Linked DNA regions of Tribolium castaneum. The protein of the gene in region 3 purifies or fractionates together with the protein of the main gene of each other region. This does not show direct contact. Links are inferred from orthologs where the notes say so. Each region holds a gene or a part of one and is shown on either strand. Other genes may lie near its edges.

What was found.
Region 1: the proteins of Sec6 (region 3) and Exo70 purify together in Homo sapiens (affinity purification with mass spectrometry; 5 studies listed by BioGRID and IntAct, counting the BioPlex papers as one, with this or other methods). This does not show direct contact. The link is inferred for Tribolium castaneum from reciprocal best matches to the Homo sapiens genes EXOC3 and EXOC7.
Region 2: the proteins of Sec6 (region 3) and Exo84 purify together in Homo sapiens (affinity purification with mass spectrometry; 5 studies listed by BioGRID and IntAct, counting the BioPlex papers as one, with this or other methods). This does not show direct contact. The link is inferred for Tribolium castaneum from reciprocal best matches to the Homo sapiens genes EXOC3 and EXOC8.
Region 4: the proteins of Sec6 (region 3) and Sec10 purify together in Homo sapiens (affinity purification with mass spectrometry; 7 studies listed by BioGRID and IntAct, counting the BioPlex papers as one, with this or other methods). This does not show direct contact. The link is inferred for Tribolium castaneum from reciprocal best matches to the Homo sapiens genes EXOC3 and EXOC5.

The regions. Positions count from the first base shown.
Region 1 is NC_087399.1:7,104,439-7,111,807, reverse strand, and holds the start of Exo70 (exocyst complex component 7), read right to left. Parts: upstream 4,160-7,369; 5' UTR 4,001-4,159; intron 3,047-4,000; exon of another isoform or gene 2,359-3,046; coding exon of another isoform or gene 2,057-2,358; intron 1-2,056. Other genes in the region: stet (uncharacterized protein LOC657740), read left to right, coding at 2,057-2,358; 26S proteasome non-ATPase regulatory subunit 2, read left to right, coding at 4,427-4,471, 4,523-4,579, 4,630-5,303, 5,347-5,482, 5,632-7,000, 7,049-7,369. UniProt on the Homo sapiens protein: Component of the exocyst complex involved in the docking of exocytic vesicles with fusion sites on the plasma membrane.
Region 2 is NC_087398.1:809,425-816,617, forward strand, and holds Exo84 (exocyst complex component 8), read right to left. Parts: upstream 4,631-7,193; 5' UTR 4,534-4,630; coding exon 4,470-4,533; intron 4,419-4,469; coding exon 4,263-4,418; intron 4,215-4,262; coding exon 4,015-4,214; intron 3,962-4,014; coding exon 3,665-3,961; intron 3,618-3,664; coding exon 3,491-3,617; intron 3,445-3,490; coding exon 2,926-3,444; intron 2,852-2,925; coding exon 2,721-2,851; intron 2,672-2,720; coding exon 2,261-2,671; intron 2,212-2,260; coding exon 2,014-2,211; 3' UTR 1,970-2,013; downstream 1-1,969. Other genes in the region: Nep2 (neprilysin-2), read left to right, coding at 1-96; sperm-associated antigen 7, read left to right, coding at 1,036-1,114, 1,159-1,315, 1,367-1,538, 1,583-1,742, 1,866-1,969; Wdfy2 (WD repeat and FYVE domain-containing protein 2), read left to right, coding at 4,861-5,018, 5,067-5,414, 5,465-5,711, 5,884-6,215, 6,262-6,397; Taf6 (transcription initiation factor TFIID subunit 6), read left to right, coding at 6,899-7,141, 7,185-7,193. UniProt on the Homo sapiens protein: Component of the exocyst complex involved in the docking of exocytic vesicles with fusion sites on the plasma membrane.
Region 3 is NC_087399.1:3,908,103-3,915,531, forward strand, and holds Sec6 (exocyst complex component 3), read right to left. Parts: upstream 4,945-7,429; 5' UTR 4,870-4,944; coding exon 2,641-4,869; 3' UTR 2,604-2,640; downstream 1-2,603. Other genes in the region: HEX5 (hexamerin 5 precursor), read right to left, coding at 1-510, 556-643. UniProt on the Homo sapiens protein: Component of the exocyst complex involved in the docking of exocytic vesicles with fusion sites on the plasma membrane.
Region 4 is NC_087396.1:19,820,117-19,827,348, forward strand, and holds Sec10 (exocyst complex component 5), read left to right. Parts: upstream 1-2,916; 5' UTR 2,917-3,115; coding exon 3,116-3,148; intron 3,149-3,198; coding exon 3,199-3,323; intron 3,324-3,371; coding exon 3,372-3,489; intron 3,490-3,533; coding exon 3,534-3,731; intron 3,732-3,776; coding exon 3,777-3,841; intron 3,842-3,890; coding exon 3,891-4,074; intron 4,075-4,122; coding exon 4,123-4,340; intron 4,341-4,385; coding exon 4,386-4,496; intron 4,497-4,547; coding exon 4,548-4,643; intron 4,644-4,689; coding exon 4,690-4,849; intron 4,850-4,898; coding exon 4,899-5,134; intron 5,135-5,180; coding exon 5,181-5,267; intron 5,268-5,312; coding exon 5,313-5,418; intron 5,419-5,462; coding exon 5,463-5,619; intron 5,620-5,667; coding exon 5,668-5,912; 3' UTR 5,913-5,961; downstream 5,962-7,232. Other genes in the region: uncharacterized protein LOC660185, read right to left, coding at 1-149, 209-266; G patch domain-containing protein 11, read left to right, coding at 1,126-1,175, 1,227-1,686, 1,733-1,996; transmembrane protein 50A, read right to left, coding at 2,156-2,262, 2,312-2,579, 2,629-2,733; Art1 (protein arginine N-methyltransferase 1), read right to left, coding at 6,781-7,232. UniProt on the Homo sapiens protein: Component of the exocyst complex involved in the docking of exocytic vesicles with fusion sites on the plasma membrane.

The DNA.
Region 1 (7,369 bases), about 3.2 Mb from region 3:
TCAAAATCTTCTTGTCTTGTATCTTCTGGCACTTTTCCTTCGAAAATTACTTCCTTTAACTTTCCTCAAGGATTATTTCCATCAGGAAAATAGCCAGAAATTTCTTCATCTTCGTAAAATGAATCTTCTGAAGCTGAATTGATTTTCACTGATTTCTCCACAGTTTACTTTTTTCAACCATTAATCTGTAGGCCTTTGAATTTTCACAAAATCCAACAAGGATTTATTTTTCTTATTTTGAATCCCATTTAGTTCGTTTTTCGTTTGGTATATGGTTGAATGCTTTACATGCAAAAATTCTTAATTCACTTAAATCTGATTTTGTCTTGTCCAAACTTCTTCTGCAGTCGTATTATTTACTGTTAGAGTAGGACTTCTATTTTTCAAATAACAAGCTGTATAGCTTCTGTCTAAAAACCTTAACTTAATTTTTCAACCAAAGTTGCATTCTTTGGAGGTGTATAATCAAGTGTTGTTTGAAGACGAATTCCGATTTTTTTCAAAAATTCCTTCATTGAAGAACTTACACATGTGCTAGAAATTTTATTTTACGATCTGTTTCAACTTCAACCATTTTCTTGCAATTCTCGATTTTTTCAAAAACTTTAGATTTATTCTTTAAAAAATACACAGATGTTTTTTTTTGTAAGGTCGTCAGTAAAAGTTAAAAAATAACGCTTTCTGCCAATTGAATTTATTTTCACTGGACCGCAAATATCACTATTCTAACCCATCGTTCTAACTTTTCTTTAGCCCTGTGCACTGATTTCTTATGAAACTTATTCTTATGTTGCATTCCCCTTAATATCTTCAAATTTCATATCATGAACCATTTTTACGAGCCTCTTCAAAACTTGACTGCTTTAATTTCAAAATTACTTTTATTTTAAGTTTTTTTGAGTGAAGTATATTTTTTTTACATAAGCCAATTTATATAACTCTCCATCTCTTGTTGTTGCAACTGCTATTAGTCTTCCTGTCTTCTTTTCTCGAATCTCACATCTTTGATTTTCAACAATTGTCTTCAATTTTCCCTAGTTATTTTCATGAAATTAAATTAAATTTCAAACCCGGAGCATAATCAACTTGGCGTTTCAATCCTCTTACCTTTAACATACAATAAAACTGAAGTCACTCCAATGTCTTGGATTTTAAATTTTGATGTTTCTTTGAAATTCCTCCTTAAAGAATAGCAATTTTTAGATTTTATGATCTTTCTTCTTGCTATTAAAACATGTTTCTTTAAATCCTGTTTTGTGTGATGAAATACCATTTTTATCAATAAAATCCTTGAATTTTTGATAATGCCACTTCATTACTTAAGCTGATTCTCTTCCTTCATTTTTTACATTTAGCAGCTTATAGTAGTAATCTCCCTTTCACTAAATCTGTAGCTAATTCTGTATTGTAGTTCTCTAGTGTCATAATTAATGGCTTAAAAAGTTCTGGTAGATTAAGAGCAACTAAAACACTATCCTTTATTTCACTGTCTATTGCCTTCAAGTGTTGGGCAATTTTCATTTCCTGATTTAAATAATCATTCATTCCCTTACTATCAGCGTCACGAATCAAAACTAATTTTTCTGTTAAAGTTGCCACTCTTGGGAAACCTTGATATTCATAAATTTTCTTCAGTCTATCCTAAACTTCTTTTTCAGTTTTCTATTCTCTAACTTCCGTAAATATATGTGACTTGACAAGAAACACAATTGCTGCCAAAGCCTTCTTCTCCAGCTTTTCATCCTTCTTTGTTCCATCCACAAAATCCATCAGTTCACAATTAATTAAATGAATTTCTACTGGATAGGTACTTCCAATCCATGTAGTTGCACTTTCGAAGTTTTTCGAAAAATGCAGGAACTCCTCAGTATCACTTTATGCACAAGTTTTGTTTGATAAATAACCAGTTGTACGCCTAATGTGTTGTAAAACTTTATTGTGTACAAAGAAAACGTTGCTACAATAAATTACAGGAGATCCTGATCCAAATTGTAACTTCTTTATTTTAGACACTACTATCACAACACCAAAATTCAACTGACAATTGTTATTTCAGCCTCCTGCGACGTGGGGTACGCCATCTATTCGCGGTATGCCGCCGAAGCGATGGGGCCGCCGGTGTCGTACGTGGCGCACCTGACGGGGGCCCTGGCGGGGCTCACCATCGGCCTGCTTGTCTTGAAGAATTTCGAGCAGAAGTTGCACGAGCAGCTGCTGTGGTGGGTGGCGCTGGGGGTGTACGCCGCCTGCACGATTTTCGCAATTCTTTTCAACGTCATGAACCCCACGGTGGAGGCGGTGGAGAATTTGGGGGACGGGGTCAACAGTCAGTATGTGTATAATAGGTTCGGGGTATAGCCCCCTTTGTATAGGTTACGGGAACTCTCGGAGATTTATTTATCAAAAGCACTGAAACGATATTATTGCCCACATAGCCATTCCAGACCCGTTTTACAATACTAATCCAAAAATAAATCTCGGAGAGGCCGCTCTGTATATAATTTTTTTTGTACATATTTATATTTATTTAATATTCTAGACCAAAGACTGAAATGAGTAAATTCGAATGATTTATTAAGGTTTCGTTGTGAGGAAATTATTGTCAAACAGCATTTATCAAGTTCCTAAAACGATTCAAAGCAGGAGTGAGCGCAAACCGACAATTCCATTATTCACTTGACAATAATTTCTGCTTTATTTCACTTTCAGTTCATTTTTTTCTGAGTGATATTATCAAACTAGTCATAAAATTATTTAAGTATAAGCCTACCAAAGAAAGTGCTAGTTAATTCTATTTACACAATAATGTATTCGAAGCCTTATAGGTAGACGATTTTTCAATGTATATCACAAAGAAATTGTATTTTTTTACACTCAGGTAGACCACTGTTCACTGATATATGTATTTGTAACGAAAAAAAAAAAAAATAGAACTGATGGGTATTTCTTTTATAATACCTTTATTCCATTTTTGTTTTGTTATTATTATCACACTGTTTTACAAAACGCCCAACTTCCAAAAATAGTAATAAATTATTCAATTGTGCGACGACTTTTACTGAACCCTTCCGAAGTTTTTATATACAGGATGTCCACCATGGGGATCTCAGTTATTGTAAGAGATACAAGTTTGGTGAAATTAGGGCTAAGTTGCGCATTTTTATGCTGAACAATTATGTGCAAGAAAATGTTGTCATTTTTAGTTTTTGAGCTATTGGAAGAAAACGGAAATTTGTCATTTCCGTTTCTATTTTTTCAAGCAAAAACCAAAAGTACTAGACGTTTTTAAGTAGGACCTTCTTCGGGAACTTTTTTACAAGGTCATCGTATTTTCCAAAGCGTTCTTGATGTCAGAGTTAAAAGTTGAGTGTTGTAACTCTGACATCAAGAACGCCTTGGAAAAGACGATGACAGATTTAGGTTTCTTGTAAAAAGTGCCTAAAGGATTTCCTACTTAAAAACATCTAGTTCTTTTAGTTTTTTTTCTTAAAAAAATAAAAACGAAAATTAGTAATTTTTTATTTTTCCCAATAATTCAAAAACCAAAAATGGCACACCAAATTTTCTTTCAGATACTTGTTCAGCATAACAACGTGCAACTTTGCCCTAATTTAACCGATCTCGTAACTCTTATCACAACTGAGATCCCCATAGTGGAGCTCGAAAAACGGACACCCTGTAGACGGACAACACAAGTGGGGATTTCTCAGGGAGGCACGTAAACATAGTAGAAGCATAAAAAAGTGAAAATTAGTTATAATAGTGATTTAATTCATTGGTTTGTTAATAAAAGCTGTCTTCTTTTAGTTAAAATTCAATTTTTATGACGTAATCATGTAATTGTAGGAGCAAAGTGGCCGTGGTAATTGCTATACTAGACGGCCCCGAGCTAATTGTTTACAAATAAAATTAAACAAACTCATAAACACATCAAAATGGGGACTTTACCCACATAAAAAATCTGGATTTTAAAAAGTTCTAAAGCGACATTCGGACTTACCGCCGTCCATTAATCGTAAAAACATCGGTAATTTGAGCAATTTCTTCAATTTCTGGACACCAACAAACACTAAATTGGGGCTATTTACCCAAAAGGGGCTTAAGACGCACTTATGAAACAAGCGGCAAAAACTAAATAAGGTTAGGGTACGTTACCAAACACTAACCTATTAGGCCAGAAGATGGCGCAAGCTTACGAATTAAAAAATATCTGCAAAAAAATTAAACCTTACGGCATAAATTAAGAAAAACAATCCGAATGACCTTTAGGACCGTCACAAGGCATATCAAACTTATCCATAATTTAATTTTCAATTTTTATTGAGCTTTTAGGCGGAAACGGAAACGCCAAAACGTCAAATTGAAATTTTTGCATGTCATTTGAAACGGTCGCTCCTTTTGCCCATTTTTGCAAAAATTCGCCGAAATGGCAGCTGCAGCAATCCGAAAACCGGTGATTCCCAAAGATGACGTAAGAAAATCCCCTATTTATTTAATACTTTAAACGGGGCCCAAATTTTAGTCGGACGATGATAAGGAATTACAAGTGGAGCTAAAGGGTCTCGTGGACCGAATTACGGTGAGTTTTTCCATCATCAAAATAATAAAAAACCACGTAAATATATACAGGGTGACGAATCGAAGCTAGTGAATGTGTCCCTCGACATGTTAAAGTACTTAATACGGACCTCAACCTCGTCCATGACGTCCGTCCCAAAGCCCCTCAAATACCTGGCCCCTTTTTACGGGGCCCTGCGCAACAAATGCGACTCGATGAAGGACCCCCTCCTGAAAAAAAATCTCTCCGATGTCGTCTCCGTCCTGTCCATGGGGGCTATCGACGGGAGCGTGAAACGCGACTTCGACTGTCTCAAGTACTGTCTCCAAGGCACGATGGAGAACATCGGCGATTGGGGGCATGAATACATCCGCCAGCTGGAGATCGAAATCGTCAAACAGTGGGTCATGTGCGAGAACAACTACAAGACTCTGAGCCCCCTTGTCAAGCAGATCATGAGGTTTAACTGCAGCCACCACGACGAGATACAAGGCTGCGACCTTTTAATGGAAATCAACCAGATGTACATGCTCTTCGATTACGTCACGAGGGAAAACTACAAGCCCATTTGCTTGTACCTAGCCTCCTGTGCAAAATATGTGGACGATCTCGAGAGCAAAAAAATACTGAAGCTTATTTCGCAGTTCTATTATCTTTTTCAGGAGCATTGTCGCTGTTTGGTCGTCGCGATTCAAATCAAAGACTCGGCTTTGATCGAGAAACTCTTCAATACGTGCACTGACAAGTAATCTAGTCGGCGTTTCAAACAATTTTTCACTCATTTTTAGGATCACACTGTATCAAATGGCCTTCATATGCGCCCGACACCTCTACCCAATCGAATTTAATCTCGACGATGACGACGTGAGGAGCATTCTCGAGAATAGTCACTTGAGCCACTATTTTTTAAGTTTTGCACGTGAGGTTAGTGACAATTTTTATTCATTTGGCTTAAATTTGCCATTTTCCGTCTTGTGATGTTGTATTTTGGGGTCAAAATGCGAAATTTCCGGAAGAAATTCAAATTTCCCGCCTTGTGTTTCGGCGCCAAATTCAAATTTTTCTCGCTTTAGCTTGATATAATGGAGCCGAAATCGCCCGAAGAGGTGTACAAAACCTGGCTTGAGCCCGTAACGCTGCGTCAGAGCGTCCTCGGCGAGAAACTGGACAGTGCCCGTCAAAATCTGGCCTCGTCCTTCGTCAACGGTTTCGTCAATGCTGGTTTTGGCACTGATAAACTTTTGACAACCGACGATGGCAATAAATGGATTTATCGAAACAAAGATGTTGGCATGTTAAGTGCCACTGCAGCTCTGGGTTTACTATACTTATGGGACGTAGATGGCGGTTTGACCCCAATTGATAAATATCTCTACACCAGTGATGATAATATCAAAGCTGGCGCGTTACTAGCCCTTGGTATTGTCAATTGTCGCATTCGAAACGACTGCGACCCGGCCCTTGCCCTACTGGGCGATTACGTGGGGAGTGGCAGTGAGGAGTTGCAAGTTGGGGCGGTGCTAGGCATCGGATTGGCGTACGCCGGGAGTGGGCGGAGCGACGTATTGAATCTCCTCCTACCGGTGATACAGAGCTCGAAATTGGTCAAAACTTTGGGCGTGGCGAGTCTTGCATGCGGTTTGATCAGTCTCGGGAGAAATAATAACGAATTATCGGACATCATCTTGACGAAAATGATTGAATCGAACGGATTGGACGTTCTGAAAAGTCCCTTCATGTTATTGGCTGGTTTGGGCGTGGCACTTGCATATTTCGGAACCAAGGATGCGATTGAGGTTCCGACGATTGTGGCGGATGTGTTTGAGGAGCCGTTTCGGACCATCTTCCAGACCATGCTACAAATGTGCGCTTACGCCGGAAGTGGGGATGTGTTAATAATCCAGGAATTGTTGCGATTGGTCGAGGAAAAGGTCGAAGTTCCCGAAACGACCGAAACGAAAGGTTCGAAAGATAAGAAAAAGAACGAATGGGATTATCATATGGGGAAAGCGATAGCTGTTTTGGCCGTGGCCGCCATTTCCAAGGGTGAGGAGCTCGGGACCGAAATGATTCAAAGAATTTTCGGTCAAATATCACGTTATGGCGAACCTTCGGTCCGCAAAGCCGTCCCATTGGCTATCGCCTTGACTTCGGTTAGCGATCCCCAGCCCACTATAATCAACGTTTTGACGAAATATTCACACGATATTGACGACGACGTTGCTTGCAACGCCATTTTTGGGCTGGGTTATGTGGGGGCGGGCACTAACAATGCCCGCCTTGCGGTCACTCTACGCCAACTAGCTTTATACCATACCAAGAACCCGTTCCAATTGTTTATGGTAAGAATTGCGCAGGGTCTTGTCCATATGGGTAAAGGTACCATGACTTTGAACCCCTTACACACCGATCGTCAGTTGCTAGACCCGGTTGCAATGGCGGGTGAGCTTTTACAGTAGTAACCAACTTTGTTTTGATTACTTATTTTAGGGATTTTGATCCCGTTAGTGTGCCTACTTAAGCCGCATTCGTTGATTTTGGGCCGATGTCATTACCTACTCTATAGCTTAGCGGCGGCCATGCAACCAAGATGGCTGCTCACACTTGACGATAATTTGAATTCTGTCTCAGTGACAGTTCGTGTGGGTCAGGCTGTGGATACGGTAGGAAAGGCAGGTGATCCTAAAACCATTGCGGGGATTCACACGCATACGACACCAGTTTTGTTGTGCGCTAACGAAAGGGCGGAGTTTGCAAATGGGGAGTACGAATCAACAGCGCCCGCCCTTGACGGCATTTGCGTTTTAAAAA
Region 2 (7,193 bases), on a different chromosome or scaffold from region 3:
CTAGTTCCTTTAACTAACATGGAGTATTTTGCTAAAGATTTTAACTGTCCCAAAGATTCAAAAATGAATCCGCAACATAAATGTCAAGTATGGTAGCTTTAATTTATTGACTGATTTTTGAATTTTACGAGTGAATCTCTGACTAGTACTTAATTTCGTTGCGCTGACTAGTTGTAAATAGATAGGTGTAGCTTTTGTGATTGTTTATTAATAAATTTTTTACCTACATGGGGGTCTTGTGTAACATTTTTTTGTGTACATAGAGGCGGGTTTAGTAGTGGTTTGGTAGCTTATAGGCCTTGAATAACGCCGTCGTGTCCACTTCCAGCTCAACGGAATTAACACTCAAGGAGAAAATATCGCCGATAATGGTGGTATCAAAGAGGCCTATTTGGCCTACAATAAATGGACACAACGGCACGGCATTGAGAAAACCCTCCCTGGACTCAAATACACCCCAAATCAGATGTTCTGGATATCAGCCGCAAACACATGGTGTGCGAAATACCGGCCAGAATCATTAAAATTGCGAGTTTTGACCGGATATCACTCGCCCGGCTACTTCCGGGTCATTGGTCCTTTCAGTAATTTAGACTATTTTGCCAAAGATTTTAGTTGTCCACTAGGCTCGAAAATGAACCCGAAAAAGAAATGTAAAGTTTGGTAATGTGATAGCTAATCAGCGAGCTCCACACGCCAGGTTGTGATTGGCAATGAGCTTTGTGCCACGTCGTGGAAACTAATTTAAGTTATTTAATTTCTAGTATAAGTGTATCTTTTTATGTTGTGACTTGCTACTGAATAAAACATTTTTAAAACTATTGAGTTTAAATTTACCACCTCCCGTCCCATGTTTCAAATCTGAAAACAACCAATCATGAGTAGCATCACCACTGGCAACTCCCGCCACAAATTCTCATTGGCCCAACTCGTGAAAGTTAATTGACAGTTCGAAAAAGTTTGGTTATATTATTGTGATTTCCTATTTTTGGCCAAGCCCTAATTTCGAAAAACCAAGGGCTTTAAACACCCACGATGGATCTATTGGGTTCCATTATGAACTCTATGGAGAAACCTCCAAGTTTGAGCGAAAAAGAACGCCAATTGGTTAAAAGTAAGTGATTTAACCTCAATAACCTTCATCACCCCAAATTTCAGAGAGAAAAGAGGAAATCGAAAAACGACAAACAGCGGAAAAGGAGCGTCTAAAACGGTTTAAAGAGCGAGTCGAGTCGAAATTAGCGTCGCACTTTAAAGACCCCAACAATACGATGCTGAAATTTGAGCCAATGGACCAAATTTATCGGAGCATTGTGTATTTGTGTGGTTATTTTTTCGTATTATGAGAATTTACACAGTTTTTTAGCCACGAAGCTGCCGAAAGTGCGGGGTTATTGTCGTACGCTTTTGGTAATGATGGGGTGGATAGGTATGTCAGGGTGTACAGGAAAGAAAATGCTCCTTGTGAGGACGAGTTGGCGGCAAGGAGGCGAGGGGACCCCTGGAATGAACAAATCAGGCAGCAGTTGATCGAAAAAGTACGTTTGAACCGTAATTAGGTTGTTCCTAATTTGGGTTTTAGAGAAAAATGGAGAAGATTGAAGAAGTTGCAGCTACTAAAAGAAAGCCGGAAAAGTTCACACCACACTCTAATTATAGGGACAAATACGCGCATTTGATTGGACAGGAAGCCGCCCTAGAGGCGGCCAAGAAAACCGAGACTAATAAGAGCTATGGCTTTGGTAAGTTAAAATATCAACCCAAAAAAATATAGTACTTAAATCGATTTAAATTCAACCAATAATTCACTAATTCATTTATCAGAAAGTTTATTCTAATCAAGTGATTAATTTTTGCTTGTTTAGTGCCTAGCGAAAATAAAAAGGACGTCAGGTCAATTGAGCAAACAATGGCCGACATCAGGGCCAAAAAGCGCCTTAAAACCAGCCATGAAACACCATCTGAATAGTTAATTGTATTTATTAGGCAATATTTATTGTAACATTTACCACATTATAAAAACTCTGATGAATACTTTGTTTTTGTGTTCCTACTCGTTGGTGAGACTCCTTTAGTCAGTGCTGAGTATTCCTTTTGAAGTTTTTGTAGTGAAGCGCATTCGAAACCGATCGCTTCTTTGTATTTTTTCTGGCTTAAGTCTTGAACAGTAGTCAGGAGAAATTCGGCATTTTTCGTAATGAATTTCCTTTGCTACAAACATTAATTCTGATAAAGATATTGCACCGGTTTTTTACGCTACCTCTAATTGATTTTCATTACGCAAGGAGGCTTCAATGTGTCGCACTTGCGCCTCAAAAACGTCATAAAGAACGTCGTTTATCGTATAAAGCAGTTCGGTTGTTTCAAGTCGTAAACAATCATTCAAAAGAATTAAAAACAGTTTGGTAAAAACAAGCGTATTGTTTGTAAGTTGGATCCACGTATCGCCAGTGACGTAACTGTCCACTTTGAGCCCCAAATCGGAATATTCCTGCAAAAATCGGGCCAAAGCTGTCTTTGTTCGAAGATTCATAGGAATCCATTTATCTTCAAGAGCCCGAAGTTTTGCGACTTCTATCGACTTGTCACGGGCGTCCTTCAAGGCCTGCATTAGGGAAGTGCGCAAAGCGCCATCTAGCTGGTAACACAAATCAACGCCAAAAGAACACAACTACAACCACCAATTTCATTTTTTTACAAAGAGAGAAATGGTAAATTACTCGTTCGCACTGTGAGCGGGCCAAAACCACACATTCTGTTAAAGTAGAGAGCGAAGTTTGCGGCATAAACACCTGTTTTATGAAATGAGTCGTGAATACGGACAGCTCGTTACTGGCCCACACCACGTATGCTTTGAAAAATTTTTTTATTAATTAATTCCGCTAAATATTATCAAAAACACCGTTTTAATATTTTTGTACAAACCTGACGAACAGCTGGACGAGCTGGGAAAAGCCCTGAGGAACTCCTCAGTCATGTGACACATATTCGTAAAAACGACACTCGACAAATGCCTCACGTACATGACCGTGGAGCATTCACGCTTCACTCGTTTACACTGCGTTTTGAGCATGTTGCTGCACAACTTCAGGAATAAATTACACGCGGCTGTGGAGCGCCCCAACTGGTTGAGGAGTCTCACGGCCCGGCGGGCGGCCCGCAAGCCCCCTTGTTGTGACTTGTCTGGATTAACTTCCAGTTCTTTCATCAGAACTTCGGTTAAGTGGTTACGCCTTTGCTCGACTTTTAATTGGATGTCGAGGATCACGTGGTCCGGTTGGCCACTAGTGGCAACAAATTGCGTGATGTAGTCTTTCGATTTTTGGAGGAAAGTTAGAGCGTCCTCAAAGTGTCTTTGGGCAACGCAAACGTCTAACTCTTCGGGGATTTCCAGAAACCAGTCCGGGTGTACTGTCCCGACCTCGTCCTCAATTTCCTCAAAAGCTATAGTGGGGTAAATAGGGGAAAAGTGACAGTGGTGCCGACTTACGGTTGAGGCTAGGGGAATCGATTGAGGCGGACCGAGACGGCGATTTTTCCACGATTGATTCGCGTTTTTGTTGGTCTTGGGTGAGACGGGCTTTTTTGGCCTGGTCGAACTTATCCAACCACTCTTTCTACGATTTTTTTTTGTAAACTTGTGCAAACTAAATTTTCGCAATACCTTATTTGAGCCAGAAGTGCATTGGAAAACACGAGTGTCGGGAAAAATCAATAGTTTGAATTGGTGTTTGTTGTTACCAATTTCCCGCACATTTACTACCGCGAGACTACCTAACTCGTACATTACCTCAAAAACATATTTCATTAAACCCCGGCTATTATTATTTCTGCAAGTAGTCATAAAGCCGTCTGTAAATAAATAAGCATGGACCGTTTTGATGATGTGATTATCGAGAGGGTCAACTTCTAAAAGATCCCCTTCGTGTAAATAAGTCCTTCCAGGGACTTCCAACAATTCCTAAACCAGTCATACCAATAGTAACAAAAATTCGCCAAAAAATGGCACTTTACCTTACAACCCTCAACTTTTTCTAAAATTGAGGCTAATTTCTGTCGGTTTTCGTCACCTTGGTCTTTGGGATTGTCCCTATTTTCCATTTCTGTGATAACTGGAGTTTCTTCGCCCAAAATCGAAGTTGTTGATAAGGCACCTAATAAGGATTTTTGTTCAGATAAAAGGTGTGACAATTGATACATTTCACTCTCCAAGTCTACAAAAAACAGTCAGACTTATAACTAAGTAAAAATTAAAAAAATACGAGATATTTCTTTAGCAGTGTCAATAAACTGGGTGTAATTGCGGTACACATTTTGCTTCAAATTGTTGTTGGTGTCCTCAGACAGTGACTGAATTCTTTTACGGAGGCGTCGCAATTCGGGGCCCCCCACACAACTTTGAGACAATTCCCTAACATCTAAAAGAACCTAATTATCACCAAGTGATTACGTCTTATTAATTATGTTACATTTTCCCGCATCAAACTCCTTCGAGCTAAATAAACTTAAAGTCGGTTCTTTTGTGGGCTCCATGGTGTAAAAAATAATTATTTATTTGATAATAAAGTTTTTTCTAACACAAAAAGGGAGGCGGTGCCATTTCCTATAACCTCAATGGTTTGACAAGTAATTTGTCAATAGATCTGGCGTTGTGAGCGAACATTAGAGTGAGCCACGCAAGTGGTCGACATGTACGTGTGGGTTATCGTTTGTAACTTGTTTGTGTGATTGTCATTTGCGGTTCTTTGCACATTATCGTTGGTTAGGGACGCTTGTTATCGGCAACTGCGTCGTAAAACTGTCAAATCAAAAGTGTCAAACCTAAAAACAGTGTTATAATTACAATCAAATTAATTAATAATGGCAGCGGAAATCAAGCCAGCAACCCAAGCAAACGACAAATTCTGCACAACGAAAAAGCCCGCCCTTTTGGCAAAACTGGAAGGTTGTAGCGACGAAATAAACGCCGCCGTTTTGATCCCGGGCGAAGATGGGGTTATAAGTGTGTCAGATGACAAGTAAGTCGCTCCCAAACCCGGTCTTTACGCCTCATTTTTGTGATTTAGAACGGTACGTGTTTGGTTGAAGCGAGACTCAGGCCAGTACTGGCCCAGCATTTGCCAGTACATGCCCAGTGGGGCCACTTCGGTCTTTTACACAGTTGAAACCCGGCAACTTTTCATAGGACAGGAAAACGGGACCGTGTCAGAATTCTCGCTGGCATCAGACTTCAACCGAATGATGCCAGTGCGGGAGTACCTAGCACATCAGGCAAGAGTCACCGAAATTATTTTTGCCATCAACTGCGAATGGGTTCTGAGCGTGAGCAGGGATAAAGTGTTTTCGTACAATTGCACACAAACCGGCCGCAACATTGGGACTTACACGGCTGAGGCCTGGTGCACCTCTCTACAGTACTAATTTTTTGCGGAAAATTTTCGAGTCATGTCTTTAATTTTTGCAGATTTGATGCACAAACCAAACATGCGTTTGTTGGGGATTATTCTGGTCAAATAACTATGTTAAAATTGGATAATGCGGGCCCTAGTGTTATCACAACTTTGAAGGGGCACTCGGGCTCTGTTAGGTCACTGGCTTGGGACAGCGAGCGGCAGATGTTATTTAGTGGCTCCTACGACCAAACTGTTATCGTTTGGGACATAGGGGGGCAACAGGGCAACGCCTACGAGCTGCAAGGTCACCACAACAAGGTAAACATTGTTTATTACAACCGCAGTTGGATTTTTTCCGAAGCAAAGATAATTGTTTATTGGTTACGTAGGTCAAGGTTTGTTTTTTGTTGGCGATCGGCATTTGAAATTAAATTGGCAACAGTGCCAAAAATTACCAAAATTGTGGAAACAAGTGAATGTGATATTACAGGTCTCTGCTTTGTGCTACCTTAACTCGACCAAACAATTGGTCAGCGCGGGCGAGGACGGGGTGCTGGTCTTCTGGGACATGAACCAAACGCGTCAGGAGACTCCCGAGTGGATCGAGTCCGATTTATGTCAGTTGTGTGGAAGACCGTTCTTTTGGAACTTCCGAGCCATGATGGACCAGCGACAGTTGGGTTTACGGCAACACCACTGCAGACATTGCGGGAAAGCAGTTTGCGAGAAATGTTCCACAGGTAGATTAACAATTCCAGCGATGGGTTTCGAGTTCGCAGTGCGTGTCTGTGACCCTTGTCACCACTTGTTAAGGGATAGAGAGTGAGTTGCAAGTGGTGAAGTTATGTCTTGCTAAAGTTTTTTACAGGAGGGTGTCTTTAGCCACATTCCATGATGCTAAGCATAGTATTACAGCGATGGGATTGGACGAGACTCGCAAAAAATTGGTAACAGTCGGACAGGACCGGCTAATCAAAATTTGGGACATTTCCGCTTTGCTTTGAATCCGACTGGTTTAGTTACTAACGCTGGAATGTGATTCACACTCAATTAATTAATGTGCTATGATTTATTACATTATGTAAAATTTAAATATTATTAATGTTATATTTATATTCTATAAGTTCTATTGAAAATAAATCTATTATAATCACAGAATTGCGCCTCATTTGTGCTATTTTTGAACCCAAGTGTGCGAACAAGTGACATGATTCCATGAACGGATGGTAATCTGTGGTGACGTCAAATTTACAGGAACCTGCTTTCGGTCCGATTGTTGTCAGTTTTTTTCGAACAAACAATTGTTCGTTGTGATTTTTTCTCCCCCACACGATTAAATCAATTAAGTGCACTCTTCTTCATGATCCTTTAATACTTTGGTTCTTTAATGTTGTTGTTATGCGGCATGTGTTGGTGTTTTCGTCGTGCGTGCCACTCGAGTTGGCACCACTGGTAAACAAAACAAGCGCATATGCCAATTTTTGGCCCCCTTTTTGCCTTGAAAAATGTCCAAAAACGCTGAAAATGACTTATACGGAACGAATTTATCCGTCGAATCTATGAAGGTAATAGCCGAAAGCATCGGAATTGGAAATTTGCCCGACGACGCTGCAAAGGAACTAGCTGAAGACATCTCATTTAAACTGAAACACATCATTCAAGACGCTGCGAAGTTCGTCCACCATGCCAAACGAACAAAACTGATGCAGAGCGACATTGACGCAGCCCTCAAAGCCAAAAACTTGGAGGTATGTGGGCTTTTTGGTTATTTAACCTCATTGTGTCTTACAGCCCCAGTAC
Region 3 (7,429 bases):
AATAGTTGGAATAAATCGTGTAGGTCTTAGCGCCCCCACTGTACGCCTGTTTGTACCTTTGAGCCTTCTCAAGGTCCTCACTATTGTAGAAATAGAACGGATAAATCTCATAAATCGGTGGCAGAACGAACGTAAAAGTATCATCACGGTGGACCAAGGCGGTGGAAAAAGCATACAAGAACAGCCCCTCGTTTACGTTATTCCTCGCCCAGACTGCGGTTTTATACAACGTGTCGAAATCCCTAGCGTAGTAGAACAACTTGAAGAGACTTATAGCCTGCAGGCGGTGCTCGTAGTAAAAAATCGAGAAAATCTCGCCCCGCGGGAGCAACCCCAACTTGTAGTACGACACGAACTGCTTAACAGCAGTGGAGTTGACGTACGCGTCCACATTTGCTTCGATTGCGTAGCTTTTGGCGATTTTTTGCCGATTTTCGTCGAAGTCGAGCTGGTTTACATTGCGGTAAAGGTCCAAAAGGTCGCGCTGGCGTTCGAGGAAGAGCTTGTCGGCTGAAAATAACTTGATTTCTCTGGCAGATTGAAATGGCAACTTACAAACTTTGAATTTGCGCTGACCGACTCCGTATTCTTGCAAGGATGAAATGCTGCCGCAAAGGCACAGGAAGATGACTACAATCTTCATCGCGGATGAAGACTGATTCAGACTCGGCGTTTTATATCAATCAATGAACTTGCATTTAACCTTTGCATTATCATGTTTACTAACATTATTCTAAGTTTGGTGGGTTTATTGACTGTAGTTTTAGAAAAAAGAGTGAGTACAATAGAGGAAATGGCGTGATAGGGAGCTATTATTATACGGAATTATCTCCTAATAGTGTGTTTTCGTTTTTCTAAATTCGAGCAACGTTCTGTTATGTAAGTTTTTTTGACTAGAGAATTGATAGGAGAAGGTTAAAATTTTTTTTTAAATCTTCAATTTTTTTGCTCAAATTTCTGAGTAATAAAAACACTTACCTTCAAAGAGATGAAAAAAAAATTTTTTTTAAACGCACTCCAGCAAATTTTTACGGACTTCTGTATGTCTTAATAACCCACTAAAGTTGTTAAAAGTCCACAAAAAGTCCAAATGTTCGATTTTTTGATGTTTGATTTTTTCAATTTTCGTCGCAGTTTTTGTCGGTTTTGGGTACCCGGAACATTTCTCGAGCAATAGCTCCGGAACTATTAGAGATAACCCTATGAAGTGTATTATCGTTGGAAAGCTCTTTAAATTATCTATTTTTTTCAAAAAAGATTATTGTTCTCCGACTAATAGTTTTCGAGGAAATTGCTGATAAATACAAAAATTGGTAAAATTTTAAAAAATTCATAACTAAAAAACTATTGGGAATTTGGCAATTTTTTCGATGCCAATCGATTCCCCGGATCATTTTGCATGGGTATGGATCAAAACAGTTCCATTTTTTGAAATAGTTTAGCCGTAAATGAGAAAATAAAAAAAAAGTTAACACCCCCCCCCCTTAAAATCGGTCAATTTTTAAAGTGTCTCAAAATCAAATGAAACCTATTCTATCTTATAGATTTTGATGTGCTCTTTACAATGGAACAAACCGTTTTTTTCTAGCTCTTTTAGTTTGGCCGTAATCGGCGTTTGAAAATTGAAATTTTTTTTGTGAGATATCGCCTTGAGTCCTATGTCATTTTGTAGAGTTTTTTATTCCGGTTGTCCTCCATTTTTTCGTTTCTCGATAACTCTAATAGTTTCGCCACAATTGGCGGTTGAAAATTGAAAAAAAGTGAAAATGGAAACCTTTTTTTGCGTTTTTCTCGGAAACTGTAAGACTTAGAGCAACGAACAAAAAACCATCTGATAGCGCTTAATTTTATCTATTTTTTCAACCAAACCCGGAGCCGCTCCGGGCAATGGTTCCGGCTACAGAGGCGATCAAAGTTTTGCAATTAAAAAAATTCATAAAATAAAAACTAAAAGTCGTAGAGCATTGCGGTTTGTTCCATTGAATTCTACGGCTCATTTTCTCTATTATACCAACTTTTCATGAGATTTAAAATTTTCAATTTTTTTGCTCAAATTTCTGAGTAATAAATACACTTAGTACCTTCAAAGAGATGAAAAAAAAATTTTTTTTTAAACGCACTCCAGCAAATTTTTACGGACTTCTATATGTCTTAACAACCCACTAAAGTTGTTAAAAGTCCACAAAAGTCCATATGTTCAATTTTTTGATGTTTGATTTTTTCAATTTTCGTCGCAGTTTTTGTCGATTTTGGGTACCCGGAACATTTGTCGAGCAATAGCTCCGGAACTATCAGAGATAACCCCATGAAGTGTATTATCGTTGGAAAGCTCTTTGAATTATCTATTTTTTTCAAAAAAGATTATTGTTCTCCGACTAATAGTTTTCGAGCAAATTGCTGATAAATGCAAAAATTAGTAAAATTTTAAAAAATTCATAACTAAAAAACTATTGGGAATTTGGCAATTCTCTCGATGCCAATCGATTCCCCGGATCGTTTTGCATTGGTATGGATCAAAACAGTTCCACTTTTTGGAATAGTTTAGCCGTAAATGAGAAAAAAAAAAGTTAACCCCCCCTTAAAATCAGTCAATTTTTAAAGTGTCTCAAAATCAAATGAAACCTATTCTATCTTATAGATTTAATTGTTGAATACGTTGAGATTAACAAGTTTGGGGAACACCAGCGTCCGGAACACGCTGCTCTGGTGCGTGGCCTTAACTTTGGGCAAATGCGCGACTTTATCGCGGATGTCCGACCTGGCAAGGTCACCCCTCAGACTCAACAGTCGCAATAAATGATCTTCGGTGATATCGGGATACTTTTCAACAATCCGATGTAGCTCAAAGGATAGCATATCATCGTCGCTCTTCAATACTTCCGTTAACAAAATAACGCTCTCAAACGGGTCATCGCCTTCTAAACTGCACAGTGTGTCTAGTAACTTTCCCAACTGATTGGCCTCCTTGACGATCTTTCCGCTGGCTTGCACGCTCTCTTCATACGTCTTAAAAGTGCCTTTTTTGGACAATAGCGCGGTTAAGTAGCGTTTGGAGACCAAAGCGCGGGCCTGGTGCACAATAAACTTGTAGTTGGGTTCGCTGAGGCGATTGTAGTCTTGGAAGTAGTCGTCGAGAGTCGCACAAATCGTGTCGACGGGGTGCGAAGTCCCCAGCCAGCGCGGGGTGAACAATTCGTCAAAGTGTTTGTCCAAGTCCAGGAACAACTCCTCGAGTAAGAAATCGCCGGAGTCGTTGCGCAACTGGATGAAAGTCGTCCGCAAGCGGTTGAAATGATCGCCGAGAGTTGGCGGCGACGTGGGGGCCCAGTACTGCTTCTCCAACTGTGACCCCAAATCGGCCAGTTGGAGGCAGTTGTTGACGATCATGATCATGTACTGGGTGAAGTACGGGACTTGCTTGCGGTCCTCGAAGTATTTGTTTTTGAACTCGACGATTGCTCTCCGGTACATGTCCCCGAAATTGATGACTTGCTCTATGCTCAAGATGAGGACTTTGCACGTCATTTCGTCGCTTATCGTCTTGCAGACTTGTAAGTTCTGGTCGATCATTTGGAAGATGATAATGGGGGCTGCCGTGCGGGTGTAGTTCTCCGAGTTGGGTTCGATGTTCGAGCGCCACTCTTTCTCCTCTGAGTTTAGGGTGTTTCGCATCCATTCCCCGTAGTTTGTCTCAATGTTGCGCAAATACTCGGCCTCGAGGGTCTCCATCACGGGCTGGGGGAGCAAAGGCTCCAGGTGTTTGGTGTATTCGACCAAGTCCGGGTGGCCCAGTAGCTCAACCCCTTGGTAGGTTTTACTGACCCATGAGAGGATGGTCACGTATTCGTTGCCTTCGATTCCGTTCTGAATCACTTCTTGTAAGTGGCGGGACAGGCAGTGGTGGTACATCTGTATGTACTTGTCGATGATCCCGTACCTGGGCGGGAAACACGGGACACACAGTGTTTTAACAACTCGCAAGTCCTCCAAAATGAGCTGCCGCGTCAATTCCAAGTAACGAATGAGCCAGTGTTTGTTGTCATCGCGTTCGTCGACTTGCGTGCCTTCAATTCTAGTAGCGACTGACTTTTCCAACACTTCGAACGCCATTTGTTTCCATTTTTTGGGCCGCCCTGGGGGCAAGAACCCGGTCTGTTTTTCCTGTTTAAGTGCCTCTTGGTCGGTTTTCTCCTCCCGTTCAATTATCCGGAGAGCTGTGACAATCACAGTAGGTTCCTTCCGCACCGTGTTGAGCGTACGCGACAAAATCAGCCTCAACTGTTTCTCCAATAAATTGGACAAAGTCTCAACGTCGGCAAAGTACGCTTTAAGCATGGATTTATCATGCGGTGACTGGTTTGGCAACTTATGCAACTCGTACAGTAAATCATCGCGGGACATTTCCAAATCCCTCAGACACTGATGGGTGTGGAGCAATTTCCCTTCGTTAATCCACTGTTTGGTCTTCTCCACACTTTCGGGGACCGTGAAGATGTGCTTCAAGTTCTCGCGCGCGGTCACGTACTGCGAATGCCGCATGTTTTCGTCCCGGACTTGGCTCAGCTTGGCGCACAAGTCGGGGACTTCGTTGAAGAGAGTGAACATTTTTTTGATGCTTGAGTCGATCTCGCGGACGTCTTCGAGACAACAGTGCAGTTGGTTGAGTCCGACGCGGACTCCGTCGAGTTGTTGCTGCATCGCGGACTTGAGGAGCGCCTCCACGGAGTTTTTCTTGCGGGTGAGGCGGCGCTTCAAGTGGTCGACTTTTTCCAACTGGCCTGGACGTTGGAACATGTTCACCACGTGCGCCCGGGCCGAGTCTTTGGCCGCCGCCTCCAATTCGCGCATATTTGACTTTGTTGTGGTCATTTTTGGGGGTGTTTTGACCTAACCTAAACTGTCAGTTTGACGTTTGGGTGAGACAGTTGACTTTACACTCAATTGACAGCGTTCTCGTCAATGTCGGTTAGGATCGCACCAAAACTTACAGTCGACCAGACAACTGCTGCGCGCATGGAGCTAGTACCATTTCCCCTTCTACCATTTTCGTTTTCTACAGCCAAGTTCACACCAGGAAAATTATCGTTCGTTATGATCCTACAGAAATAAAGAAAATTGCGGAATATAAAGGGGGTGAAAAAAATAAAGATAATAACATAAGTTTAGTTGAGACATTTTTGTAACGAGACTATATTTTTGACGATATCTTTCGAACGGTTAGCCGTAGCGGTTTGTTCCATTGGATTCAGCTGCTCATTTTCTATATTATACCAACTTTTCATGAGATTTTTATGGACTTCTACATGTCTTAACAACCCACAAAAGTTGTTAAAAGTCCACAAAAAGTCCATATGTTCAATTTTTTGATGTTTGAGTTTTTCAATTTTCGTCGCAGTTTTTGTCGGTTTTGGGTACCCGGAACATTTCTCGAGCAATAGCTCCGGAACTATTAGAGATAACCCCATGAAGTGTATTATCGTTGGAAAGCTCTTTATATTATTTATTTTTTTCAAAAAAGATTATTGTTCTCCGACTAATAGTTTTCGAGGAAATTGCTGATAAATGCAAAAATTGGTAAAATTTTAAAAAATTCATAACTAAACCACTATTGGGAATTTGGCAATTTTCTCGATGCCAATCGATTCCCCGGATCATTTTGCATAGGTATGGATCAAAACAGTTCCACTTTTTACAATAGTTTAGCCGTAAATAAAAAAATTAAAAAAATTAAAAAAAAGTTAACACCCCCCCCTTAAAATCGGTCAATTTTTAAAGTGTCTCAAAATCAAATGAAACCTATTCTATCTTATAGATTTTGATGTGCTCTTTACGATGGAACAAACCGTTTTTCTCTAGCTCTTTTAGTTTGGCCGTAATCGGCGTTTGAAAATTGAAAATTTTTTTGCGAGATATCGCCTTGAGTCCGATGCCATTTTCTAGAGTTTTTTATTCCGGTTGTCCTCCATTTTTCCGTTTCTCGATAACTCTAATAGTTTCGTCACAATTGGCGGTTGAAAATTGAAAAAAAGTGAAAATGGAAACCTTTTTTTGCGTTTTTCTCAGAAACTGTAAGACTTAGAGCAACAAACAAAAAACCATCTGATAGCGCTTAATTTTGTCTATTTTTTCGACCAAACCCGGAGCCGCTCCGGGCAACGGTTCCGGCTACAGAAGCGATCAAAGTTTTTCACTAAAAAAATTCATAAAAAAAAAACTAAAAGTCGTAGAGCATTGCGGTTGGTTCCATTGAATTCTACGGCTCATTTTACATATTATATCAATTTTTCACAAGAATAAAAAATTTAAAATTTTTTGCCTAAATTTAGGGTATCCATTTGTCATATTGAAAAATTTTTTTCATTAAAAAAATTCATAAAAAAAAAAACTAAAAGTCGTAGAGCAGTGCGGTTTATTCCATTGAATTCTACGGCTCATTTTACATATTATATCAATTTTTCACAAGAATTAAAAATTTAAAATTTTTTGCCTAAATTTAGGGTAGCCATTTGTCATAGTGAAAAATTTTTTTCAATAAAAAAATTCATAACTCGAAAACTAAAAGTCGTAGAGCAGTGCGGTTTGGTCCATTGGATTCAGCGGCTCATTTTACATATTATATCAGTTTTTCACGCAATTTAAAATTTTCAATTTTTTTGCTCAAATTTCCTGAGTAATACAAGACTCACCTTCAAAGAGGTGAAACAAAATTTTTTTTTAACTAACTCCTGAAAATTTTTATGGACTTCTACATGTCTTAACAACCCACAAAAGCTGTTAAAAGTCCACAAAAAGTCCATATGTTCAATTTTTTGATGTTTGATTTTTTCAATTTTCGTCGCAGTTTTTGTCGGTTTTGGGTACCCGGAACATTTCTCGAGCAATAGCTCCGGAACTATTAGAGATAACCCCATGAAGTGTATTATCGTTGGAAAGCTCTTTAAATTATCTATTTTTTTCAAAAAAGATTATTGTTCTCCGACTAATAGTTTTCGAGGAAATTGCTGATAAATGCAAAAATTGGTAAAATTTTAAAAAATTTATAACTAAAAAACTATTGGGAATTTGGCAATTTTTTTGATGCCAATCGATTCCCCGGATCATTTTGCAGGGGTATGGATTAAAACAGTTCCATTTTTTGGAATAGTTTAGCCGTAAATGAGAAATTAAAAAAAATAAAAAAAAAGTTAACACCCCCCCTTAAAATCGGTCAATTTTTAAAGTGTCTCAAAATCAAATGAAACCTATTCTATCTTATAGATTTTGATGTGCTCTTTACGATGGAACAAACCGTTTTTCTCTAGCTCTTTTAGTTTGGCCGTAATCGGCGTTTGAAAATTGAAATTTTTTTTACGAGATATCGCCTTGAGTTCGATGTCATTTTCTAGAGTTTTTTATTCCAGTTGTCTTCCATTTTTCCGTTTCTCGATAA
Region 4 (7,232 bases), on a different chromosome or scaffold from region 3:
CTCAACGTAATCTTCAAGATTGTTTTTCGTGAACAAAAAATACGTAATCTTATCGGGGGTTATATGCTCGTTGGTGATCTCCTTGGCTTCAATTGCGGTGTGTTTGTAGATTTTGTAAAAATCTTCTTTGAAGCGCTCCTCAATTTCCGCTTTAGTGGATAATAATTTATTGTTTAAAATTGTAATTTTTCAAAATAGAAAGTCTTACCACGAAGAGGAGAAACTGCGAGGAACAAGAGTAAAAGCAAAAACGGTGGTCCTTGCATTTTGGTTTAACAAATACTGAAAAAACTGATTAATAAAAAAATCGTAAAAATTTTAATGGGTATTTTAATTAAAATAAAATAGCAGCGATCACGACATTAATTGACGAATTATTAAATTTGCGAAATTTTAAAACAAGTTTACCTTTGTCAGCACTTACAACGTCTCTAACAGAAAACACACATTAAAATGAATTCCGGAGACAAAATTCCGAATATCAAATATACCCACTATCAGGTTCTTCGTTTTATCACTTTTTTTCTTACAAAAACAATTTCCATACTTGTTGGTGTACTTTGAGTTTTAAAACGGATTGATAGGTATAAAAATTTACACAAACATAATGTTATTTATAGAAAACAACATCACAAACAATGAGATTACTTATGATTGTTGTTGCAGTTATTTATATGAAATTAATTATATTCTAGATGTGGTTTTTTATAAAAAACACTTTAAAAAGAACTAATTTTGTATAAAGTAAATCAAAACGAAAATAATTGGCAGGATAGTTACTTAATCGTAAAGTTTTGTTTAATGGTAATCTTTATGAGTTTCTGGGATTAATTGGGGTCATCGTTAATAATTCCAAAATATTACCCAATTCATGTGATAACGAAATAGTGTACTTGTATTAATTTTTTGATTTATTTTAAATAAGATATCAAAAATTATTGAAATGAAATGTTTTCCCACAAGTTTTTGAAATCACAGGCTCGCCAATCTGAGACATATGAGAGTTTTTCACTTTTCTACATAAATGTTGGCAGTAACTTTAACCTAGAAGAGCAGAAGGTTATAATTTAGGAAAATAAACACAATAATCATGAAAAAAACGTAATAACAAAGAAAAATAGAAAAATGTCGGATTCGGAAGATGATTACATGTCTGATAAGCTTTTAATGAAATGGTAACCTTGCAAGCATTAAGTAATGTTTGCTTAATTTTCTTTCAAATTTAGTGATGAAGACGTCCGTCCTGGACTAGTTTTCAACCGCACAACGAAACGAAAGTATGAACTAGAGAAAAAAAGGCAGGAGCTTTCGGCCAAGAAGCCCAAAAACAGTAAAGAAAGAGAAGAGGAGCGAAGACAAGAGGGCTTGAACACTGCTATTTCAAATGACAACAAGGGCTTTAAATTGTTGGAGAAAATGGGTTTCAAGCAAGGACAAGGTTTGGGAAAATCGCAGTCTGGCATAACAGAGCCCATTAAAATAGAACTAAGGAGTGGCAAGTCAGGGGTTGGGTTAGAAAGCCATTTTAAGGAAAAAGTTACCAGGAAGAAGGTTCACAAAGAGGAGACTCTTGCAAAGAAAATGGACGCGTTTCATACAAGTATTAAAAATAAACAAGCCCAGAAGTTGCTCTGTAAGGATTTTGTTAAAGCGCAGAGAGCTTGTGAAGATTTGGATTTAAGAAAGGTGAACACGTTGCTAACGAGTCAAGTGTGTTATTTACTTGTTTTAGAACACTGATGAGCCAATTCAGGAGTTTTATTGGACGAGGGAAACAATTAAGAAGAAGAGAGGTGTTCAAGACGATGAGGAAGAAGAGGAACAGTTTAATGAAGAATTTGATTCCTACTTTACTGATGAAAATTTAAGCGAACTAATTCATTATCTAAGAAACACGCATTTATATTGCATGTTTTGTGCATTTGTCGCAACTGACGAAAATGACTTAAGTACAAGTTGTCCAGGTCCTAACAGAAGCGATCACGATGACGATTAAATAAATTGTGATTTTTAATTTATGTTTTATTTATTTAGCAAATAATAAATTACACAATATTACAACCTAGTTTTTACACTTTACACTTAATAAAAAATTAATTGTTATGCTCATGAAGGGTAAAATTTGCAACATAAAAGTATGAGTGTGAATTACTTTCTATGTCCAAATGTCTTCAGATCTACCAAACTTGAATATGAGTGACGCGATAAAAATAAACACGTTCTGCAAAAATATAGCGACTCCCGGCCAATAGTGAGGCACCTCTGTAAAAAAACTCAATTAAAGTTTGCAATTTTTTACAAAAACTCTTACTCTTGTTGACGAAATCAGCAAATAATATTCCACAAGAGGCAATCACAGATGCAAAACCCATTACAAAACCGACAAAAAGCCACACTTTGGCGCCTCGGGGGCCCAAACAGCCCCCCTCATAAGCGTCGCCCCTCATTTGGGCGTTTGAAACGGAATTGATCATTATCAAAGACACGGCCCCCACGACCCCACACATGTGGTATCCTGCTAGGACAGTCCCTGGGTATACACTTGCGGCATCGATTATTATCCACCAGCCTACGAAAAACTAAAATTTGGATGAATCATGTCCAGTTGTAGAGCACAAAAAAGCTCACCAAAAACCCCGAGATCATTGAAGCGTACGCATTTCGCCTATCACCCCCTTCGAACCAAATACACGGCGGAATATTTATATTTTCAAAACAGTCAGCTATACCCATTTTTTCCCGATTTAATGGCCTTAAATGTAAACAAAAACGATATTTTTTTGGTGATTATGAACTAATGACTTGGGGATTTTATTGTGCGTTTGACGTTTCGAGGGCTTGGTGACACTGGACGTCAGCTGATTAAAAGTTATTTTTTAATTATTTTTAATTAATAAGTCGAAACCACCCAGAAAAAAAATCGTGTGTGATAACGCGCACCCAAAATATACCAGAAATTGTCATAAATTGTAGTTTTAACACCAATAACAAAGGTCTACTTTGTTGTAACCTAAGATTGGTTGGACGTCAAACTGACAGGTGTCAAGTCAAGCCAAAAATAAATAAATTCATGTTTATATCTCCTCCAGTTTAAAGGAAAAAATTTCGCGTCAAAATGATGCAACAATATATGAAAGAACTGGAGCAGGTATTTAACTCCACTTGTAAGTCTTTGCATAAACGCCCCCTAATCTTTAGGAACCGTTTGATGCTGAAGAATTTGTTGAAAGATTAGCTTGGCGCACAATAGCTGAAACAAAAAATGACGGTGATGAGGACTTTAATCCAACATTGCTGCATGACTCGTTTGTTCAAGCTATTAAGTAAGAATTAGGCTTGTGTAAGTCCCATAACTGGGTTCGTTTTTGTAGAGACTTAACTTTGCTCCAAGAAAGGCAAAAAAAGAAATGTGAAAGGCTCGAAGCCGCCGTACGCGAAGACGAAGCATTGTTTTTTCAAAAAATCCACGATTTATTGGGGCAAAATAAAGTAGGTTTTAAATTGTGTTTGCAAAATACAATCCTCAATTTTAGCAAGCCATTGATACGTTTCAAGAGCTAGACGGAAAAATTAACCATGTGGCGACAAAAGTCCTACACTTGGGTGACCAGTTAGATAGTGTTAACGGACCTAGGGCAAGAGTTGTTGATGCAAAAAATCTAATGACACATTTGAATGAATTCTTACAAACTGGCCCTCTCACTTCAGAAATCTTCACCGACTCGTCAAAAGTATTTTTAATTTTTAAATCAACATTTGTTCAACATTTCTTGCAGATTGATGAAGCGGCAGAAGTGATACAAAAGTTGTATTTAATTTCACAAGACCTGCCCTCACCAAAGTAAAAATTTAGATCAATAATTGTAACAACAAACAATATCATGTTTTAGATTTGAGGGCTTAAAGCGCAAAATTGAAAGAAAGTACGATGAGACAGAGCGGACTTTAATTGAAGAATTCTCAAATGCGCAAAGGAGGGACGATTTCAAAAGAATGAAAGAAATCGCTAATGTTTTATCACAATTTAAAGGCTACCCCCAGTGCGTTGATGCTTACATTGAACGGAGTCAAGCTGTAAATATTATCATATTATCATTCCTCTTGTGGAAACAATTTTTTTAGGGTTGCTTGTTGAGTAAAGATGTATTTTCGCGTTTGTTTCCCTTATGTGAACTAAACTACGATGTTATTAAGAAAGTATTTAATAACCCGGAACAAGTATTGGCAAAATTTGTCCTAAATTTGTATCATTTGAAACTGCAAGAGTACATCGCGTCAAAACTATCCTCGAAATTAGATAGTTACAATTATTTAAAAACTTTGTACGAGTTATATGACAGGTAATTACACTCTGAATGATCCACCAGACTCACTTTTTATTTTAGAACCAATCAGTTATCGCAAGATTTATCCGTTTTTAACATGGGGAGCGACAAAAACTATTTAAATAAGCTAACAAGTAACATTTTCAATAAATACATCGATAATTACATAGCGTGAGTTTCCGTACTGGTTTGTTCCAATTGTTTTAATTAATCATAATGCAGATTAGAACTAAAGTGTCTCAAAGAACGCAGTTCTGCCAATTTGCAACGTTACTACGAATCAAAAAACCACCAAAAGAAACAGATCCAATCTGGCGGGTATTTTTATTATTTCGTGTTTTTCCCTTTGTCTAAATTTGTACAGGTTCCAAGACTTGAGACGCGACATCCAGGCCGTAATTGGGACAAGGGCCAACATTAACATAGCCCAGATTGAAAATTATGGTGGCGAAACATTCCTGTCTGAGGAATTAGCAATTACAATTTTGCAAGACACGAAACAAGCGTTCCAGCGTTGTCAGCTGGTACATAATTTGTGTAACTGAATGAAAAACAATCTGTTTTATTTTTTAGCTTTCAAAGCCTGAAGACAAGGCGTCCAATGCCAGTCAAATTTTAGACCGTTTGCTCAATTCTTTGCTAATTGAACACGTAGATTATGCGCTGGAGTTGGGGCTTCAGGCGATTCCTGTGGTAGAAGGGTCCAAGAATCCTCCAACTTTGTATTTCTTCACAGTGGTGCACCAGAGCAACAATATAACGCACTTGCTTGAGAAACAAATCACTGATTTAGCGGTGCCTCTCATTATGTAATTTCTTACAAAATTGTATAACGTATCTCAGATTTGTTTTTAGAAATACGCCAAAATACAGCGATTGCATGCAAAAGAAAAAGTTTATTTTGGAGGATATTGAACGGAAAGTTAACACCGGACTGGACAGGTGACACCCAAAAGTAATGATTTACTTTTTTAATTATTTTTCTAGAACTTTGAATGCTGTGGGAAGTTGGGTAAAAGTCTACCTGCAATCAGAGCAGAAAAAAACCGATTTTAAACCAGAAACTGACGACTTCGATACGGTCGCTTCTCCGGTAAATCACTTCCACGTTCTGCATAAAATAATTCCGATTTGTAGGCGTGCAAAGCAGTTTCCCAATACATAAGTAATGTAATTAAGGAGATCAAAGACAATTTGGACGGTAACAACGTTACTGCCATTTTGCAAGAGCTGGGAATTCGATTACATCGCGTTATTTACGATCATTTATTGCAGTTTCAGTTCAACACCGCGGGTAAATCAATTAAAAATGGTTTTGTGTTGGCTAATTACGATTTTTAAGGTGCAATGGTCGCAATTTGTGATTTAAATGAGTACCGATCATGTACTAAACATTTAGGTCCGCTTGTGGCCGAGTTGTTCGAAACTTTGCATGCGCTGTGCAATTTATTATTAGTGAAGCCAGAAAATTTGCAACAAGTGTGTTCAGAGGATTCTCTGGTGAATCTCGACCGCTCGGTTTTGCACAACTTTATCCAGCTTCGGAGCGATTTCAAGACACAAAAACAAAATTTTCTCAAAGTGTAATAAGGAATTATTTGTTAAATGATTAAATAATAAAGGCATATATTTACTATTTTCTGTATCATGTTTGGACCTACGTTTTAAGCGCACGCTTAGAATTCTTTAGCATTTTTAATTATTATTTTCTTTGAACGAATTTCGTTTCAAACTTCCATTTCGCAAATTTTTCAATTAAAAAAAAAAGATTTATGTCACTAAAATTTTAAACAAATAAGTATAAAACATCAAGGTAAGTGTTTCAAAATATTCCCTACTCTGCGAAAGCTGCAAAAAAATGTAGAGAATTTTCTATATTTTTTCTAAGTCAGAGACAGCATAGCAACTTGAACGGCTCTACTGAACCACCAAAAGATAAAACTAGTTATGTAACGACTTTCATTTGAGATCTAAGCCGTAATTAGTTCTCCGTAACGCAAAGGCATGACTTTGCTTTTAGGGAAGTATGAATGAAAATCCGTGAAATTAAATGATTTGTTTTTATTATTACCGTTTACAGTTGAAATTGCAATTACTTAATTCATAATAGGGGTATTCAAACTAATCACTGAGGGTCGTTTTTACAGACATTATTCTGTGTTTAATCCTACAAGTCGTTCCACATTTTTAACTACCAAGACTCAATGAAATATGTACATTTCCATTAAGACTTCAAAAATTGGACACTCACAATTGAAACTTATGATAATGTTTAGGAGATTCTTAATTATGACGCTGCTGCCAGCAACCAAATAAAGGGAAAAGCAAATTTGTTAAGAAAAATCGTGGCGACATAAAAAAGTAAACCTAAGACTAGCGTCAAAATCGGGGCCTGTTTGAAGTCATGAGATTTCGGGAAGTTAAAGTAAGCACTTGTAGTAAAAAAGAAAATAAATTAGCGCATGCGGTATCTGTTATTTTCGTGGACTTCGCCTAATTCTCCTTTGAAGTTAAGTTCGATAACAAAGTCCAGATCCCTGTTGTTCCTCGGGTTAGGCTTCATGGTGAATGTTCCGTTGATTTCCTCTCCCTTCTTGACCGTCATGTAGTCCTCGAAGTAGAACACCGTCTGCTTCCAGTGCGTGTAAGGTGCGTCTGGGGCGGTGGTGAACCCGATACGTTTGTGGCATTTCGTAAATTCTACAGTGAAGAAAGTGACAAGGGCTTGGACGTAGTCGTTCCTCCGGACCACCAAACTGAACGGCGCACAGAACTCCAAATCCTCCTTCTTGACGGTGTACAAGTCGACTTCTTTCACTAGGCACGAGTTCGTGACGACCTGCTTGGGGTCCACGACGTCCACCAGCGGCTCGCTGATGGCGACCTTGCGGATTGAGCTCATGTCGA